Elephas maximus indicus: one gene and its partner. The protein of the gene in region 1 purifies or fractionates together with the protein of each later gene. This does not show direct contact. Links are inferred from orthologs where the notes say so. Each region holds a gene or a part of one and is shown in the gene's direction. Other genes may lie near its edges.

Region 1 (9,284 bases):
CCTAGTAGAAATGAAGTGATAATCTCATTGTGGTTTTGATTTGCATCTCTCTGATGGCTAACGACATTGAGCATCTTTTCATGTGTTTGGTGATCATTTGAACGTCCTCTTTGATGAAATGTCTATTCAAGTCCCTTCCCCATTTTATGATTGGGTTGTCTTTTTGTTGCTAAGTTGTTGAAGTTTTGTATATATTTGAGATACTAGCTTCTAGATCAGATATAAAGTTTCCGTAGATATTCTCCCAGTCGGTAGCTTGTCTCTTCATATTTTTGGTAAAGCCTTTTGATGAACAAAAGTTTTTCATTTGTATGAGATTCCATTTATTTATTTTGTCTTTTGCTGTTTGTGCTTTTGCTATTAGATAGTCCGTTGTTAAAAGCTAGGCCCAACAGCATCACCCCTACATTTTCTTCTGAGAATTTTATGGTTTTAGTTTGTACATTTAGTTTATTCCATTTTGAATTTCTTTTTGCATATGGTGTGAAACATATCCTGTTTCATTTTTCTGCGTGTGGAAATCCAATTTTCCCAGTGCCATTTATTAAAGAGACTCTTCTTTCTCCCATTGAATGGACTTAGCACCCTCGTTAAAAATCAGTTGACCATAAATGTGTGAGTTTATTTCTAGACTCTCAATTCTATTCCATTTGTCTACGTGCCTATCATTATACCAGTACCAGACTTTTTTGATTACTGTAGCTGTATAGAAAAGTTTTAAAATCAGGAAGTGTGAGTCCTCATACTTTGTTCATCTCTTGCAACATTGCTTTCACTATTTGGGGCCTCTTGCTATTCCACATAAAGTTCAGGGTTGGTTTTCCATTTCTGTAAAGAAGGCTGTTGGAATTTTGATCGGGATTATGTTGAACGCATAGATCACTTTGGGTAGTATTGACATCTGAAAATATTAAGTCTTGCAATCCGTGAACATGGAACATCTTTCCATTTATTTAAGTCTTCTTTAACCTCTTTCAGCAGTGTTTTATACTTCTCTTTGTATAAATCATTCACATCCCTGATTAAATTTATTTCTAGTTATTCTCTTAAATGTTATTGTAAATGGAATTGTTTCCCTAATTTACCTTTCAGATTTCTCATTGCTGGTGGATGGAAACCCCACTGATTTATGTTTGTTGACCTTGTACCGTGCAATTCTGCTAAATTCCTCTGTTAGCTCTAGAAGTTTTCTTGCGGACTCATAGGGATTTTCTATATATAGGATCATATCATTTGCAAACAGAGATAATTTTACTTCTTCTTTTCCAATCTGGATACCTTTTATTTGTTTTTCTTGTCTTACTGCTTTGGCTAGGAGGCCAGAGACTTCTTAAGGCTTACATCCCAAGAACCGGAGGTCAGGCAATGAGAAGAGTGCAGGATTGAGAGACAGACAGTTTTACCAGAAGTCCATTTATATAGTGGAGGCAGGCCACACCCCCAGGTAAACTCCCCTTTCAACTGATCGGCTGCTCACATCAGATCACAGAGTGGAAAGTGATTACAGTACACAGTATCTGCCAAACCACTGAAAATAATAGCCTAGCCAAGTTGGCACATAAGAGTAACCATCACAGGTAGTATTGACATCTTAATAATATTAAGTCTTCCAATCCATGAACATGGAACAACTTCCCGTTTGTTTAAATCTTCTTTAACCTCTTTCAGCAGTGTTTTATAATTTTCATTGTATAAGTCTTTCACATCTCTGGTGGATTGTTTGTTTTCTTACTCTTGGGTTTAGAAAGTTCTTTATATATTCTGGGTACAAGTCCTTTGTCAGATACGTGATTTGTGAGTGTTTTCTTCTAGTCTGTGGTTTGTCTCTTCATCCTGTTAATGTGGTCTTTCACAGAGCATATGATTTAGTTTTGATAAAGTACAACTTACCAACTTTTTGCTTCTATGAAAAAGAAAAAAAAAAAAACTTTTGGTATCATGTCTAAGAACTCTTAGCCTGAGCCTAGGTCATGAAGATTTTTTTCCCCTATGCTTTTTCCTGCAAATTTTATACTTTTAAGTTTTATATTTAGATATACTACCACTTTTTTGTTAATTTTTGTATAGGGTCGAGGTTCAGTTCTTTGCTATAGATGTCCAGTTGCTTCAGCCCCATTTGTTGAAAAGACTATCCTTCCTCCATTGAGTTGCTTTTGCACCATTGTCAACAATCAGATGGCTGTACTTGTATAAGTCTGTTTCTGGGTTCTCTATTTGGTTCCACGGATGTTTCTTTCTATCCCACTACTCTGTCTTGATTATTGTGTTTATATAGTAAGTCTTAAAATCAAGTAGTGTGAGTACAACAACTTTGTTTTTCAAAATTGTTTTAGCTATTTTACTTCCTTGCCTTTCCATGTAAAATTTTAAATAAGCTTGTCTATACCTACAAAAACTCTTGCAGGAATTTTTATAGGAATTGCATTAAATCTACAGATCAGCTTGGAAGAATCAGTGTCTTTACTATGTTGTGTCTTCCAATACATAGATATGACATACCTCTTCCTTTAATTAGATCTTTTTTCTTTCATCAGTGTCTTGTAGTTTTCAGCATACAGATGTTGTACATGTTTTGTTAGTCTTATACCTAAGTATTTCTCCTCCTCTTCCTCCTTCTTCTTTTGGAGTGATTGTAAATTGTATTGTTTTATTTCAGTTTCCAATTGTTCATTGCTGATGTATACAAATTCAATTGATTTTGTAGTTGATCTTGGATCCTGTGAACTTGCTATAATCATTTACCAGTTCTAGGAGTTTTTCTTTTGGTGGATTCCTTAGAATTTTTTAATGTATACAATCATGTCATAAGCAAATAGATTCAGTTTCATTTCTTTCTTTCCAATCTGTATCCTTTTCTTGCCTTATTGCACTGCTAGGACTTCCAACACTATGTTGGTTAAGAGTAGTAAGAGAAAACATCCTTGCCTTGTTTCTGATTTTAAGAGAAAAGCTTTCAGTCTTTCATTATTAGCATGATGTTAACTTTGTCAATGCTCTTTACCAGGCTGGCGAAATTCCTTTTGTTGCTTGTTTGCTGAGAGTTTTTACCACGAACGGGTGCTGAGTTTTGTTAAATGGTTTTTCTGTAACAACTGATATAATCATGTGGTTTTTCTTCCTTAGCCTGTTAACATGGTGAATTAAATTGATTTAGTTTCTTATATTGAACCAGTCTTGCATTCCTGGAATAAACCCCACTTGGTGGTGTGTATCCAAAAACCAAACCCAGTACCGTGGAGTCAATTCTGACTCATAGCGACCCTATAGGACAGAGTAGAACTGGCCCATAGAGCTTCCAAGGAGCACCTGGCAGATTCGAACTGCTGGCCCTTTGGTTAGTAGCTGTAGCACTTAACCACTATGCCACCAGGGGTTCCAGTGGTGCGTATAGCTCTTTTTATATATTGCTAGATTTGATTTGCTAACATGTTGTTGAAGATTTTTGTGTCTTTGTTCATGAGAGATATCAGTTTGTAGTTTTCTTTTTTTGTACTCTTTGTCTGGTTTGGCTTCATAAAATGAGTTGGCAAGTGTTCCCACCTCTTCTATTTTCTGGCAGAGATTGTGCGGAATTTATGTTATTTCTTCTTTTGGTAGAATTCACCAGTGAAACCATCTGTGCCTTGGTATTTCTTTTTCTGAGGGTTTTTAACTATGGATTTAATTAATAGTTATAGGACTGTTCAGATTATCTGTTTTATCTTGGATGAGTTTTGGTAGTTTGTGGTTTTCTAAAAATTGGACCGTTTCATATAAGTTGTTCAATTTGTGTTCGGAGAATTGTTTATATTACACCAACTCCTTAGTATCGACTATGTCATTATCCAACACTTTGCTTTTATGATAATAGTAAAAAATCTATCTATTTTGCACATTAAGGATGTACATCTGGCAGTAACGAATGTGAAGTACAAGGCGAGACTAATACTGCCTGTGATGGTCATGAGTCAACTTGGCTGGGCCACGCATGCTTCTCAGTGGTTTGATAATTATGTAATGATGTAACTTAGCAGTTACATAATGATGTAGTCTGCCTCCATTTTCAAGTAATGCCTATTTTTGCAATAACGACCCGGTCTTTGGAACCCATCCAGGTCAGCAAGTGAGGAGTGGGTGTATTCCCTTAACCCATTGCTGTGGAGTCAATTTCAACTTCTAGCAACCCTGTCAGACAGAGCAGAGCTGCCCCATTGGGTTTCCAAGGCCACGGGGCAGCTGGTGAGTTCCAACCACTGACCTTTTGATTAGCAACTGAGTGCTTTAACCACTGTGCTGCCAGAGCTCCTTATTTCCTTACCCAGTGCCATTGAGTCGATTCCGACTCATAGCAACCGTATAGGACAGAGTAGAACTGCCCCGTAGAGTTTCCAAGGAGCGCTTGGTGGATTCGAACTGCCGACCCTTTGGTTAGCAGCCGTAGCACTTAACCACTATGCCACCAGGGTTTCCTCCTTATTTCCTTAGTATCCTTTTAATGGCTAAGAGAACTTTAGTACTATCTTCCTCTTTCAATTCTGATCATAATTTGTGGCTTCTCTTTTTTTTTTTTTTTTTGATTGGTTTTGCTAGAGGTTTATCAATATTCCTTATCTTTTCAATGGACCAGATTTTGGGTTGATTTTGTCTATTTTCTGTTTTCTATGTCACTATGCTCTTATCTTTATTATTTCTATCTTCTTGCTTTGACTTTAGTTTTCTAGTTTCTTGACGTGGAACCTTAGATTATGCTTCCACTGTTCTTAAAATGCTGTTCAGTGTTTCCTGAATGCACTTAAACTCCTTGGTTGCCTGAACTCCTACTTATCCATCAAAACCCTGTTGGGATGTTACTTCTGAGGCAGAATAGTGTTGTAGCCAAGAGCATAAGTTCTGGAGCCAACCTTTCCTCCCAGCTCTCCCCACTGCATAAACTCCAAGTTTGTGGTTAGCAAAAGAATCTGAACCAAAAGGAGAATTACAGAATTGAAAGAGTGCTGGGAACAAAGTTTTCAGGAATTTGACCTCTTTCCAACATCTGGTCAAATGGGGGTTGACACCATCCTGAGCAAACAGAGAGGGGCTGGGGGTCAAAAATGCTAACTCACATGTGTATGCTTACAGTTTTCAAAGTTATACTGAGTTTTGGAGCAACTCAATGGCAGGACAGGAATTATCACTCCCATTTCGGTGATGGGGAATTCAAGCAGAGCTCCATTCAGGGTGCTCAGTGCAGGTCTAACCCAATATCAGCGCTCTTTCTGCTGAGAACGCTCCAGAAACTACACTGATCTGGGCAGAGAAACCACCCCCAGGGACAGAAAACCCTTCCCACTGGCCTTGGGGAGCCAAGAATCCCCCGCGCTGCTTCCCACCTCCTCCGCCAGGGGGCGCACATCCTTGCTCCCCAGTCGCAGGCAGCAAAGAGCCAGTGGGCGGTGGTTAAGGGATGTGGGTGGGTCAGCGTGCCCCCGGGGAACCGTCCTGACCCCTCCGAATTCGAAGACCAGATCGGAGTGAAGCCTTGGCTTACGGCTTTCAGCTTGGGGCCCCAAGGACTGGCCTGGGAGTCAGCCCGACAAAAATAACGAAGAGGAACAGGTACCCATGAATCCTAGGGGTAGTTCCGGGCCGGTGTCCTCCGGCCAGGTAGGGACCTGGCTTTGACTCTAAATCCCCCCCACCCCCACCGCCCGTCTTTGGGCCATAGCGGACCTTGGATCGGAGGTCAGCTCTGCCAACTCTGCCCACATCGGACTGCCCCGACTTGCCTTCAGGCGCTTTCACAACCACATTCTCCTGTACTCACCCCCCTCCCTGCGATCTTTGGGAAGAAACCCACCCTCCGCGCTCCTAAAATCCCCTCGTCTCTCCTCTGCCCCCGGTTGGGACCCCTGCTGAACCGGGAGTGTAGTCTCGCCTGGAGAAGCTGGCCCTCCCCCTTCTAGTCCCGCCCCCGCTTAGTCTTGGGACACTCCCCTTCCCTCCCCGCCCCGCCTTCGAAGTGTACACGTGGTAGATCCCATCTCCCCCCCGGAAGCCTCGCGTTACTCAAACACATCCCGCGATAGCCAGAAAAGGGGCGGGGAGACGGGAGAGAGAGAGAAGAGGATTCGTGGATTCGCTGGCCTGCCGCGCGCGGGGGCCGGGGGCACATGCGCACTGCGCAGCCCTTTGCCGACGGGGCGCCTGCCACCTGGCGTGCGTGTTGCGCGCCTCTTCCCTTCTCTTCGTTTCTTTGCGGCTTGCGTGTTGCGGGCAGCGCCCTCTACTTGGGCGGGTCGGCGTAACCTTTGAGTGGCCCGGCTGAGAGCGGGCAGCGTATGCTTGGAGGGTACTGTGGAACGAAGAGAGTAGGCGCGGAAGAGCCGGGGAAGGGGAACGTTGGAGGGGCGTGAGGTTGGGGCGATGTAATGAATGAATAAGAACTGGGGGTGGGGGGGTTACAGGAGCTTGTGGTAAGTGGGAGGGGACTGAGGCTGGAGGGAAAGGGACGTCATGTGCGCCTCTCCCGGGTGCATCCTCGGGGTAGGAACGGCTTCGTAGCTGCTGGTGACCCATCTCTGATCCCGCCCCTTTCCCGTGCCAGGGCACACAGATGGCAGAAAACCGAGGAGCCGTCGAGGTGGAGCTGGACCCAGTGGAGTACACCCTTCGGAAGCGGCTTCCCCACCGCCTGCCCCGGAGGCCCAATGACATCTACGTCAACATGAAGACTGATTTCAAGGCCCAATTGGCCCGCTGCCAGAAGCTGCTGAACGGAGGGACACGGGGTCAGAACGCTTGCAATGAGCTGTATATCCACGGCTTAGGCCTAGCCATCAATCGCGCCATCAACATTGCGCTGCAGCTGCAGGCAGGCAGCTTCGGGTCCTTGGAGGTGGCCGCCAATACCTCCACCGTGGAGCTTGTGGATGAGCTGGAACCAGAAACTGATACACGCGAACCGCTAGTCCGCATCCGCAACAACTCAGCCATCCATATCCGTGTCTTCAGGGTCACACCCAAGTAACAGAAGGGAAGGTGGACCTCGTATCCACCCACCACCTCTACAGCCAGGCTCAGATGTGACCCTCCTTGTACCGAGTACTGTCATGGACCTCCAGAAAAGGCCTAGTCCCTCACAGCCCAAAGGACTGAATTGAGAGGGAGGGCGTGGTCTCTTGTTGGGCTCCTGCAGGGTGTTATCTTGAGTCTCTGTGGTCTGTAAACCATTATCTGACACAATAAAATGTACCAAGTTGTGTTAGTGTCCTGCCACCCCACTGCTACTGCCTCTTCCCTGTGAGTACCTGGAAGGGAAGAGCAGGAAACTTTACGAGGGTTTAGCCACAGAAGGCAAACCCAGATGGTCCCTGCCTTCACAGAAAGCATAAATTGTATTAGCGACCGTGTAACATAAAACAGACTAGTACAAGATGCAGCAGCCTGGCAATCCCAATGTTTGCTTTAAGATTTTTCCTCCTTCCAGGAAGGCCAGGAGGAAGCATATGCTCACCCACTGAAATGCAGCTGGGATGGTTGTATGCTTGGGAAGCATTTGGCCACTCCTCTCTGGTGATATGATCATGGTTCCCAAGCACAGAAAAGGGTTTAAGGATGAAGGAGGCAATGTTAAGACTGTTGGGGCCTTCTTTGTGCCAGGCTCTGGTGGGGAAGGACCAACTGCTTCATTTAGTTCCTGGAGCTGTAGGGCCCATATTCTGAGCAGCTGTGGTCTAGAGCCTGTCAGGCCCTTCTGGGCTACGGTAGAAGAAAGGGAACCTCCCCCACCCTTCCCCCCCAAAATAATTACTGGGCACACAGGTAGTAAATACTTTTTTGTTTGGCTATTTCTGGAGTCCTCTGATTTTTCACATTTATCAAACAAGAGTCATCTAAAGCAATGTTTATTAAACTGAGCAGTGACCCATTTGTGGGTCTTGAAATAGATTTACTGGATCACAGCCTATTTAAAGAAATGAAAAGGGCAAGTGGTGTTTTGATGCAGCTTTTTCAGTTGCATCTGCGTATGTTTATAAGTACATATGTGTACTAGTCATGATGTAAATTGTTTTTACTGTTGATTAAGGTCATAAGAGCTTGACAACTCTGATCTAAAGGTTAGTAATGGTGTATTAACTCTAGTGTTCTTGGAGGTAGTTTGGTTCTGAAGTCTGAAGATCAGGCTCCTAATTTTTCACCTTTACTCCTCTGCCTTGTGTATTACTGTTGATGAGGGACTTTCATGTGGGGTCTGTGACTGCCAGCAACTTGGGAAAGCAGACTCTGCAGAAGGACCAGTGCTTCATTCATACAGCTGAACCCATGGTGAGTGCCAGCTGTGAACAAGGCGTGAGCTGGGGTCTGGGATACAAAGATGAGTATAAGATGGCATGATCCCTGCCTTCAAGGAGCTCACCATCTAATAGGGAAGATGGACACACAATTTTTGTGAATGAGTGAAGTGTGTAATATAAAAAGTACAGGTAGCCATGATGTAGAAATACCGAGAAGGAAACAGCCACCTGCCTAGTGGGGTCCACATTTCACCTTTGACCTGAGTATTGAAGGATGAATAGGAGTTCGCCAGGCAGAGAAGGGAGAGGGCATATCTGGCAGAGGAATCAGCATGCACAAACGTGAGGGTTCAGGATGTTTTCTGGGACTGAAAGGACACTCAGGGTGGCTAGAAAGCAGGAGGCACTGGGGACGCTTGAGGGAGACAAGGCTGGAGAGATCTCTATGAGGCCACCTCCTCCCCCCGCATCAGCCTTGACTGCAGGGCTCCCTTGCTTTGGAGCCCCCCAGTAGCAGAGTGGGGATTCAGCAGGGAGCCGGGTGGAACTATGTGTCTCTTTGCACGTATGTGTTCTTGTCTGTCTGTGCTCCTGGCCTGGGCCCAGCTGAGGTGGTGGCAAGCAGCCCTTTTGCATTTGGTTTGTTTTGGCAGCTCCCTCTCCCAGAGTTTTTGTTGTTTCTACTCCATGTTCACTCACTGCTTGCCAGTGGGGCTTCCCTCAGTGGCAGGTCTGCAAAAACAGCCACTAGATGTTGCCACTGGAAGAGAGGGTCTGGGTTTCACCCTATACTATGTGGGGGTGGGTAGGGGGTGTGGGAAGGGTCTCTGATCCCCTGCAGTCCATGTGAGGTGGGAGGGCAGGGAATCCCGCTTCTCTGTAGGGAGGCCCACTGCAGCCTCTGTTCCTCTCCGGTCTACTGGTTCTCTGAAGTGACTTCCATCAAAGCTTGGGGACACAGAGGAAGGGGATGGAGGTAAGGGTTGTGTCCAAATGCAGTTCCCCGCCCTTCTTTTTACTCAACAGTTG
Region 2 (10,246 bases), on another chromosome or scaffold:
CAAACTTTCTTGTTGGAACTTTAACTTAGTTCATAAAAGAATTACAGCCAATGACATAACTTGTCACCCAGCAAGCATCTTAGAGCACTGTTTCATCACAGAAAGCAAATAAAGCTAACAACAGTCCAATTGTATAATTAATAAAAGAAGAAAGCAAAGATGAAACCAAGGTTTTGCAAGATAAAATAATGGAAAGAGCTGATATTAAAAAGTAAAAACTGATAATTCAGCATGCCCATTGCCATACATCATTCAGCATAGGATACTAAATATGTGTTAAAGTAATAATTTATTTTATTTTATATTTACTGTGCTTTAGATGAAGGTTTATAGAACAAATTAGTTTCTCATTAAACAATTAATATACATGCTATTTTGTAACATTGGTTGCCAGCCTCATGACGTGTCAACACTCTCTTTCTTGACCTTAGGTTCTCCATTGCCAGCTTTCCTGTCCCCTCCTGCCTTCTTGCCCTTGCCCCTGGGTTGGTGTGCCAAGTTAGTCTTGTTTTCCGGACCTGTCTAATCTTTGGCTGAAGGGTGAACCTCGGAATGACGTCAGTACTGAGTTAAAAGGGTGTCCAGTGGCCATACTCTCAGGGTTTCTCCAGGTTCTGTCAGACCAGTAAGTCTGGTCTTTTTTTTCTTTGTGAATTAGAATTTTGTTCTACATTTTTCTCCAGCTCTGTCCGGGACCCTCTACCATGATCCCTGTCAGAGCAGTCCGTGGTGGTAGCCGGGCACCATCTAGTTGTTCTGGACTCAGTCTGGTGGAGGTGGTGGTGGTTGAGGCCCATTAGTCCTTTAGAGTAATCTTTTCCTTGTGTCTTTGGTTTTCTTCATTCTCCCTTGCTCCAGATGGGGTGGGACCAGTGGAATATCTTAGATGGCCACTCACAAGCTTTTAAGACCCCAGATGCTACTCACCAAAGTAGGATGTAGGACATCTTCTTTATAAACTATGTTATGGCAATTGAGCTAGATGTTCCCCAAGACCATGGCCCCCAGGACTCAGCCCAGTAATTTGGCCCCTCAGAGTTTGGATGTGTCTACGACACTTCTATAACCTTGCCTTGGTCAAGTTGTGCTGGCTTCCCCAGTATTGTGTACCGTCTTACCCTTCATCAAAGTTGCCACTTACCTATTGTCTATTTAGTGTTTTCCCCTCCTCACCCATCACAACCCCTCACAACCATCAAAGATTGTTTCTTTCTGTGTGTAAACTCTTTCATGAGTTTTTATAATAGTAATCTCATATAATATTTCTCCTTTTGTGATTGACTTATTTCATTCAGCATAATGCCCTCTAGATTCATCCATGTTGTGAGATGTTTCACAGATTCATCGTTGTTCTTTACCGTTGCCTAGTATTCCACTGTGTGTATGTAGCATAGTTTGTTTATCCATTCCTTGATGAGCGCTTAGGTTGTTTCCATCTTTTTGCTATTGTGAATAATGCTGCAATGAACATGGGTGTGCATATATCTATTGGTGTGACGGCTCTTATTTCTCTAGGATATATTCCTAGGAGTGGCATTGCTGGACCATAGGATATTTCTATCTCTAACTTTTTAAGGAAGTGCCATATCATTTTCCAAATGGTTGTACCAGTTTGCATTCCCTGAAGTGATACTTTAAAGACTATTTTGAGAATCATGGAAAACGTTATATAGAAAGAAAAATAATATAAACTTTAATCTATATTAAGACTGTAAAAACACATAAATGTGAAATCAACTAGAAGGGAACACTGAAAGAAAATGTGTTTTGAGGTGATTGAATCATGTGAGAATTTAAAGATAAAACTTTTTTGTTGTAATGTTTGTACACTACAAATGGTAGAAAATATTATCTGAATTATAACTGTTCACTTTAGTTAACTTTATTGCCAGTCTTAAAATAGACAAGCAATAAAAGCAGAGAAGCCATAGTGAATTTTTTATTGACTGAATTCTTGGAAGGTTGTCACTGGATTCATCGTCACAGCTGTATATATCAAGCAGGAACTCTTCCAGGAGCCGTGCTAAGGATCTTACATAAATTACCTCTTCTAATCCTCACAGCACGTATTATTTTTATCACTTCACAGAGGAGGTTAATTAATTTGCCTAGGGTCATATGCCTAGTCAGTGGTGAAGTTAGGATTTCAGCCTAGGCAGGCTAGCTCCACAGCCATGGAATACAAGAGCTGGTAATTTTCATGGAAGGAGCCCTAGTAGTGCAGTAGTTAAGCACTCCGCTGCTAACCAAAAGGTCTGCAGTTTGAACCCACCAGCCACTCCGCGGGAGAAAGACGCAACAGTCTGCTTCTGTAAAGATTTACAGCTGTGGGAACTCTATGGGGCAGTTCTCAAAATGTGCTCCTGGACCCAGCAGCAGCAGCAGCATCTAATGCAGCCTTGGCTCCACTCCTGACGTTCTGAATCAGAGACTGTGGCTGGGCCCAGTGACAGGGCCAGAATCTGACCCGATGCAGTCTGCCTCTGGGGTCTGCATGGTTAACCACCACACTGTGTATTAAGGCAGTAAGATCTTAACACAGAGGAGGGGGAAGATCTGTACGCCTTTCTGTAGCTTCTTTCAATGGCTCACAGTAGGGGCAGTGCCATGCAGTAGCTACCAAACTTTTGGATTTAAAAGGCCAGTAAGATTTAACACAGTCCCTGGGTGGCTCAAATAGTTAAGCACTTGGCTGATAACTGAAAGGTCAGCAGTTCAAACCCACCAGCCACTTTGGCGGGGTGGGGCGGGGGGAAGATGTGGCAGTCTACTCCTGTAAAGAGTATATATAGCCTTGGAAACCCTATGGGGGCAGTTCTACTTTGTCCTATAGGGTTGCTGTGAGTCAGGATCGACTCAGCAGCAACAGGTGATCTTCATGGAGCAACTGTAAACTGAGATGATAAACTATCAGTCTGGAACCTTAAGGGGGATAACTGCATACCTATTTCCTTCCTATTACACTAACATTCCAATTAGATCTCTGCATCTCTATTTGTCTTACAGTTTAAAAGCTGAGGCTACTTTAGAACTGCATGATGTTTGTAGTTTATCATAACAATGAACTAACATGAGTCACTTTATGAAACAAAAGCCTGTTGTTATGCTCAAACTTGTAACTTTGATCTTTTCAATCTAATTGTGTTAAAAATCACATTGTACTCTACCCTGTGTATCCTGCAATAATCTTTGACCAAAGGCAACACAAGTTTTGGTTTTATTTTTCTGTTTACTTTATGGCCAGTTACGTACTACATAAAAAAAACCTAGCTGCCATCAAGTTCAAGTTCACTCTGACTCATGGCCGTTCCACATGAGTTAGAAGAGAACTGTACTCCTTTGGGTTTTCAATGGCTGATTTATTTTCTTTGGAAGTAAATGTGGGGGTGTTCTTCTTTCATTAACCGTTTGCACCACCTAGGGACTCCAAGTACTATGTAAACCAAAAAACAAACAAACAAAAAACCTTCCTAACCCATTGCAAGGGAGTGGATTCTGACTCAAAGTGACCCTATAGGATAGAGTAGAACCACCCCATAGGGTTTCCAAGGAGCTGCTGGTGGTGGAACTGCAGCCCTTTGTCAGTAGCCAGGCTTTTAACCACTGTGTTGTAAGGGCTCCATTTTACTATGCGGGTTGTGAGAATTAAAAATATAGAAACTAGACCAAAAAAGAGTAGTGAAGATGAGGCAGGGACAGAAGGCTGGAGAGCCTCAAGACCAGAATAACAGGCCCGTTGATCTGGGACTCTATCCTGTGGGTGATGTTACAAGAGAACCTACACATGCAGCCCGTGACGCACAAAGTCTTACATATCTCTCTCGTTTTTCAAGACCCCACTATAGGAGTGGCATCTTACATCTCTCTCTCAAATTGTTTTTCAGGACCCCAACATAGGAGTGGCATCCTGCATATCGCTCTTGTAAGTTTTTCAGGACTCTACCATAGGGTGGTATAGTGGTTAAGACGTACAGCTGCTAACCAAAAGGTTGGCAGTTCGAATCCACCAGGCACTCCTTGGAAACCCTACCGGTCAGTTCTACTCTGTCCTTTAGGGTTGCTATGAGTCGGTATCTACTCGATAGCAACGGGTTTACTATAGGGGATGATGTTACAAGATAACCCACTTCCGGGACTCTCATGAAGTTCTACGTACTTTCCCTACAAACTGTTTTCCAAAGATGAACAGAATCAGCCAATCCCCAGGGCATGCACAGTGAAAATGGGTACAACCTTACAGCCTTGTCAAGTGGCCACCGAGACTGTGCAGTGGTGATGTGACATCGTCCAAACTGACTCCACCGTGGATTCCAGATGCGCACCCACCTAATTTCTTAACCTATTTGTCCTAGAGGGTCGCTCGACGGCACTGGGTTTGGGTTATTTCTCAGAAAGCCCCGCCTTCCCCCCCCCCAAAGCAATGAATAAAACATGAGCTCCTTTCTGCCTAAAGCCCTTTATAACTCCAGGAAAACCTCCGTTCAGGGAGAGACTGGAGGCTAGCATAGGCAGAAGCTCCTCTCCCCTCCTCGCTCGCGAGCCTCTGCTTTCTGTCACTAATAAACCTTTATTCATGTGGAACCTCTGAGCCTCTCCTGGTCACTCACGGTCAGTAGAAGGCAAGAACCTAGGCAGGACTTGATTCCAAGCTGGGAAACCTTGCCCTGCGACAAAGAGATTGAAGAAAGGAGCAGGATATATAGAACAGGAAAAGGAAGGGGCCCAAATTAGAGCGGAACAGAAAAAGAAGGGGTATAGAAGCTTTTTAGGCCAGAAGCAACCTACTGTCTTCTACGTTCTAGCGAAGGGTAGATCAAGAGGTTCTGATCACTGACCGTTAAAGTGTTAATCAGCTGTTTTACCAATTCCTGACTTCCCAGCGACTCCATTCCTGACCGCTGAGTTCTCTGTTGGTTGGAGCAGCCACAGTGAACATTGGGAGGAATATTCTGAACTGCCTTTCAATTACTCAGAGCAGCCCTTATTCTCCTCTCTTTAAGGTGGCTCAAGATTCTCCACATTGTTATCTGTAAACCACCTCCTCAATTTATCTTGCTTTTCTTGTTCACAGGGATTAGGCAGGGATTCGATGGAGACTGGCTCAGTGGGACAGGCAAGGACTGGGGTTTTGGGTGTCGCGTCCATTCCCACTCATAGGGACCCTACAGGACAGAGTAGAACTGCCCGATAGGGTTTTCCAGGCTGTAAATCTTTACCGCAGCAGACTGTTACATCTTTCTCCTCCAGAGGCTGATGGGCTCTGGTGGGTTGGAACCGCCAATAGCCGCAGAGCGCTTAACTACTGCGCCACCAGGACTCATCACATCTCTTGCAAAAACAAACCCGTTGCCATCGAGTTGATTCCTATTCATAAACCCACCTATTCATAAAAAAGCGACCCTATATTGATCCTGTCGGACAGAAGTCTCATAGGGCTTGCAAGGCTGTAATCTTTATTTACCAAAGCAGACGGCCATATCTTTCTCCCCTGGAGCAGCCTACGGCTTTAACCACTGAGTCACCAGGGCTACCCTCCGTCTCTGAGGCAAGCCTAGGCAAGACAAATACAGAAAAGCGAGAAGAGATAGTGCGCTCAGATTTATGGGCGCTGTAAAGTTCGAATCTGCCAGGCGCTCCCTGGAAACTCTATGGGGCAGGTCTACTCTGTTCTATAGGGTCGCTATGAGTCGGAATCGACTCGACGGCACTGGGTTTCAGGTAGAACTTGGGTTAGAAGAAAGAAGGTGCCAAGGCGACAAAAGATGCCCTGAGGGACTTTCATCCATAAAAACATTCACTCAAAAGCCACAGAGCAGTCGAGACGGCGATTACGTTACCGTAGCAACCGGAGGGTATCGCGAGACAAATATCGCGCCTGCGCACTGCCGGTTCAAGGCACGGCCGGGAGGTTTCACCGCCGGGCCGACTTTCAGGCGTTTGTAGGCTGCCTTTCGCTTTGTCGCTTCCGCGTCACGCTGCTCTTTGGACCTACTTTCCCCATTGGGAGTGGTTTAACTCAGGGTAATGAAATTCGAAGATTATTTTAGCGATTCTGCAGCGCCCCATTTGTAAGGCGGGGCCTGAGAAAAGGCGAGCGCTTTGTGCACACGCATCGCGGCCAGTTTGTAGCCGCAGCCCTCGCGAGCCGGTGGCCGCGCTGTCGCCATCTTGATTTGGCGCTGGGGAAGGGGCACGGAGAGGAGGTAAGAGGGCCGGTCTAGGGTGGGATCGAGCTTGTGCCCACCCCCAGCTGACACGCAAAGTGTCTACGGCTTTCTCGGACGCCCGTCGCGCCGCCGCTGCGCCCGCCCGCCTTCCCGGACTGGCTTCTCTCGCCCGGGGCGAGCTATCCTCACTCTGCCTGGAATATCTCCCCCCAAACCTGTGTGGAGGATCTGTTGGATACTAGGAATGGAAAGATAAAACGCGACCCTAGCCTTTCAGTCCTACACAGTTTGGAAATAGAGACGACAAAAAAATAATTACAGTTCCTTATGCTAAGTGGTAAAGTAAGGAGCCCTGGTGGCGCAGTGGCTAAGCGTTGGGCTGCTAGCCGAAAGGTCAGCAGTTCTAACCCACCAGCCTCTCTCGTTCTGCAGGAGAAAGATGGGGCAGTGGCCTTCCATAAAGAGTAGTCTTGGAAACCCTACGGGGCAGTTCTGCGCTGTCCTGCAGGGGTCGCTATGAGTCGGAATGGGCTCCACGGTACACCACGACAACAAATAAAGTAGGAAGGTACCAGGTACAGTGGCGGCATATACTCGGGAGGATCAACTCTTAGGAATTCAGCGATTGAGAACTGGTGCCATCATCCCTTCAGTTAGAGTTATGTCCTTCCTTAGTAGATCAGTAGGTTGAGTAGGTTTTACCCCGTATTTCAACTAGCATGTATTTCTCACCATTCACTCTGCGGCAGCTCCAGTGCAGGCCACCATCCCTATTTCTTACCTGGCCTACTCCCATAGCCTCTTTGCTGCTTCTAGTCTTGTACGCTTCCAGGCTGTCCTTTGCCCTGAATCACAGAAGTCTCCTTGTAACACCGTTCTAGTCATGCTGTTCCTCTGCTTTAAACGTGACAGTCACTTCCCACTGCAAGGCTTGCAGGGGTCCTCACCATCTGTTCTTACCTGCCTTACCTAATACCTCACCACTTTCTCCACCTTCTCTGCTACAGTGATGTGGTTTCATTTCCTTTAATGCTGTTCCCTGGAAAACCATTTTCTACTTCCTACTCCCTTTGGTTTTTTTTTTTTTTTTACTCCCTTTGGCAGGTATTCTTCAGATACAGGGTAAAAGGTCACTTCTGACCCTCTAAAGTAAGTTTTTTTTTTTACTCCCTTTGGTTTTTTTTTTTTTTTTAACTCCCTTTGGCAGGTATTTTTCAGATATAGGGTAAAAGGTCACTTCTGACCCCCTAAAGTAAGTTGTTAGTTGCTGGCTTGACGACCCCATGTGTGCAGAGTAGAACTGTGTTATGTAGGATATTCAAGGCTGTGACTTTTTGGAAGCAGCTCACCAGGACTGTCTTCTGTGTTGTCTCTGGGTGGCTTTCAACCACCATCCTTTAGGTTTGTAGTTAGGCGCTTAACTGCTTGTGCCACCCAGGGACTAGCAAGTTAAGTTAGGCCTGTTACACGTTCTTTTAGCTTCTGTTGTTCCCTAATTTATTATTACCTGTTTGACATGTCTTCTTCATAGACTCTAAGCTCAGTGAGGTCAGTGCCTGTACTTACCTGTTTAATACTTTATGGCCTGGTGCATTGTGGATAATCTATAAATGTTTAAGAAAGCGGTCACTGGGGTGAGGATGGGAGTGGTATTCCCGGCAGAGGGGATAATTCAAATAAAGGCATGGTTGTGAGAAACTCTTGGCCTCATTAAATAGTATGTGATTCAGTGTTGGGGTGTAATGTGCATGGTGGGACATACGGAGAAAAGCTGGTGGGGAGACAGGGCCAGAGTGTGGAGGGCCTTGAACATCACCTTAAGGAGTTTGTAGTTGATCCTATAAGTAGTAGAGACCTCCAAAACATAGCTTAAAAGACACCTGAGGGAGGCTTTCCCATTTCACTCCCTTTCTCCAAAGCTGTTACTTTATCAGTACAGGTGTCCCCAGCTTATAATGTATTCAAGTTATGACAAACTGCACTTATGACCGTCTTATTTTTTTAATCATTAGTAATACGTACTACATACAGTGTTGTAGATTGGAATTATAAAGATACTGATGATAAAAGGCGGTAATAATGAAAAAAAAAGAGGTATTTAACTTAAGCCAGAACTGATTTACCAGAGTCGTAGGAATGGAACCCTGTCATAAGTCAAGGACTACCTGTGCTTTGTTCTTGGATTATGTTGTATGAGACTCTTATTATTCTAACAACCTGGATCTCTTTGTCTCCACACTAGATTTTGAAGACAGGAGGAGTTAATATATATCTTGCTATCCCTCCAGAGCACAAGACTGTAAGTACCAACCCCGTGTTGTTCGAATGCTGAGATGTATTAACTGACCTGCAGTTTGGCAGGAGCTATATTAACATATGTCTGGCCACTCAGTCATTTATTTCCCTGTTCTTGACCATCTTCAATGTGATGCCAGCCTCTGCCAACCAGTATATTGGCTTTGGATGAGCTGCTTTTCTTCCTGATTCTCTGAGCTTGAGGGGGAGCAGGGAGTAGAGGTGGGGAGAATGGGGAGGACTGTACAGTTAGGCTGGTGTGAAGGCAGCAGAGATACTGGGTGCCTGTTATTGTTAGTTGCCGTTCAGGTTGGCCCCCGACTCACGGTGACCCCATACACAATGGGATGAGATCCACAGGGTTTTCACTGGCTAGTTTTCAGATCAGCAGGCCTTTCTTCCTCGTTCATCTTAGTCTGGAAGCTATGCTGAAACTTGTTCAGCATACGAGCAATACACAAGCCTCCGTCAACAGATGGCAGTGGCTGTACTTGAGGTGCACTGGCCTGGAATCAAATTCAGCGGGTAATACTGACACAAATGAGGTTTCATTTCTAACCCCAAGGAGCTGAATTTTGGTTTTCTGTGAGAAAGTAACTAGGAGGAACATCGGAGACCAGTAGAGGTGGGGTGACCATTTCTCAGGGCTGTCACATGGGGAAAAGGTAGCCTGTCCGACACCAGTGACTCCTAATTATGGTTCTCAAGTTCACTTGGGAAGCATTTTTACAAGTACAGATACCCTGGTCCCATCCCCGAGAGATGGCAATTCAGTGGATCTGGGGTGAGGACCAGCTATCTGTTTGCTTTTAAAAGCCACAAATGATTTTTGAGGTGCAGTTAGTGTTGAAAGAGCATAAAATTTGTATTTGGAAAACTAGTGACTTTGGGCAAGATATTTAACCTGAGACTGTTTCCTCACCCACACATTGAGGATTCTGTAAGAATTCTGTGAGAGTCAAATAGTACGTGGGGAAAGTGCCTTATAAATTCTGGCTCACTCCACAGGCACTTGTTCTTCAACCTCAGTATCCAGCCTGGTAAGTGGAAATTTAACTGGAGAGGACTTAATCCTGCATGGGGTACTTAGGGGAGGGCAGGCCTAGGTGGGATAATGACCTGGAACGAGGGAGCATCAGTCATCTGGTTCCCAGAAAACAGGGACTGTTCCCCACACTCTAGACTTTTCCAGGTCAGCTTGTTTAAATTCCTTTAGTTCTGCCAAGTGCGCCCCTCTGGTTCTCAGCCAAGTCCCTGGAAGGAGAGGAAGAAAATTCAGGAAAGAAAATGGTCTATGCAGTTGCCTCTGGGATAGATAAACAGGACACACTCCCTAGACCAGTGGTTAATAACATTTTCTCCCATAAGGATCCCTTTTATTATTACTCTTATTTTTTCTTAATGGATTACTATCTTTAAAATTTTATTATTAAGTTTCCCTAGTTTAGTCAACTGCCAGGCAGAACAATGAGCTTGGAATAAGCATAGGAAAGAAGGACATGTCCATCTGTCTCAGTGTTTTGGGAAGGATATACAAGAAACAGTGATGCACTTGTGGAGGTGGCCTGGGGTCCAGGGAGGAAGAGATTTGTAATAACAAGGGCACAGAATGAGAGTGTTTGGATTTTTAATTGTGTACGTGTATTACTGTCCCAGTGTCTTAAACAGTCATACCTGGTAATTATGAATGGCAAAGGGTCTTCAGGAGTCCTGGCGCCCCAAGTGGTTAAGTGCTTAGCCGCTAACTGAAAGAAGGGCAGTTCATTCCTATCTAGCAGCTCCAT

The links.
Region 2: the proteins of POP7 (region 1) and RPP38 purify together in Homo sapiens (co-immunoprecipitation; 3 studies listed by BioGRID and IntAct, with this or other methods). This does not show direct contact. The link is inferred for Elephas maximus indicus from reciprocal best matches to the Homo sapiens genes POP7 and RPP38.

Annotation. Positions count from the first base shown.
Region 1 is NC_064830.1:92,104,938-92,114,221, forward strand, and holds POP7 (ribonuclease P protein subunit p20), read left to right. Parts: upstream 1-6,130; 5' UTR 6,131-6,299; coding exon 6,300-6,329; exon of another isoform or gene 6,330-6,375; intron 6,376-6,565; coding exon 6,566-6,988; 3' UTR 6,989-7,236; downstream 7,237-9,284. UniProt on the Homo sapiens protein: Component of ribonuclease P, a ribonucleoprotein complex that generates mature tRNA molecules by cleaving their 5'-ends. Also a component of the MRP ribonuclease complex, which cleaves pre-rRNA sequences.
Region 2 is NC_064822.1:42,038,850-42,049,095, reverse strand, and holds the start of RPP38 (ribonuclease P protein subunit p38), read left to right. Parts: upstream 1-5,890; 5' UTR 5,891-6,021; exon of another isoform or gene 6,022-7,316; intron 7,317-8,409; 5' UTR 8,410-8,466; intron 8,467-10,246. UniProt on the Homo sapiens protein: Component of ribonuclease P, a ribonucleoprotein complex that generates mature tRNA molecules by cleaving their 5'-ends. Also a component of the MRP ribonuclease complex, which cleaves pre-rRNA sequences.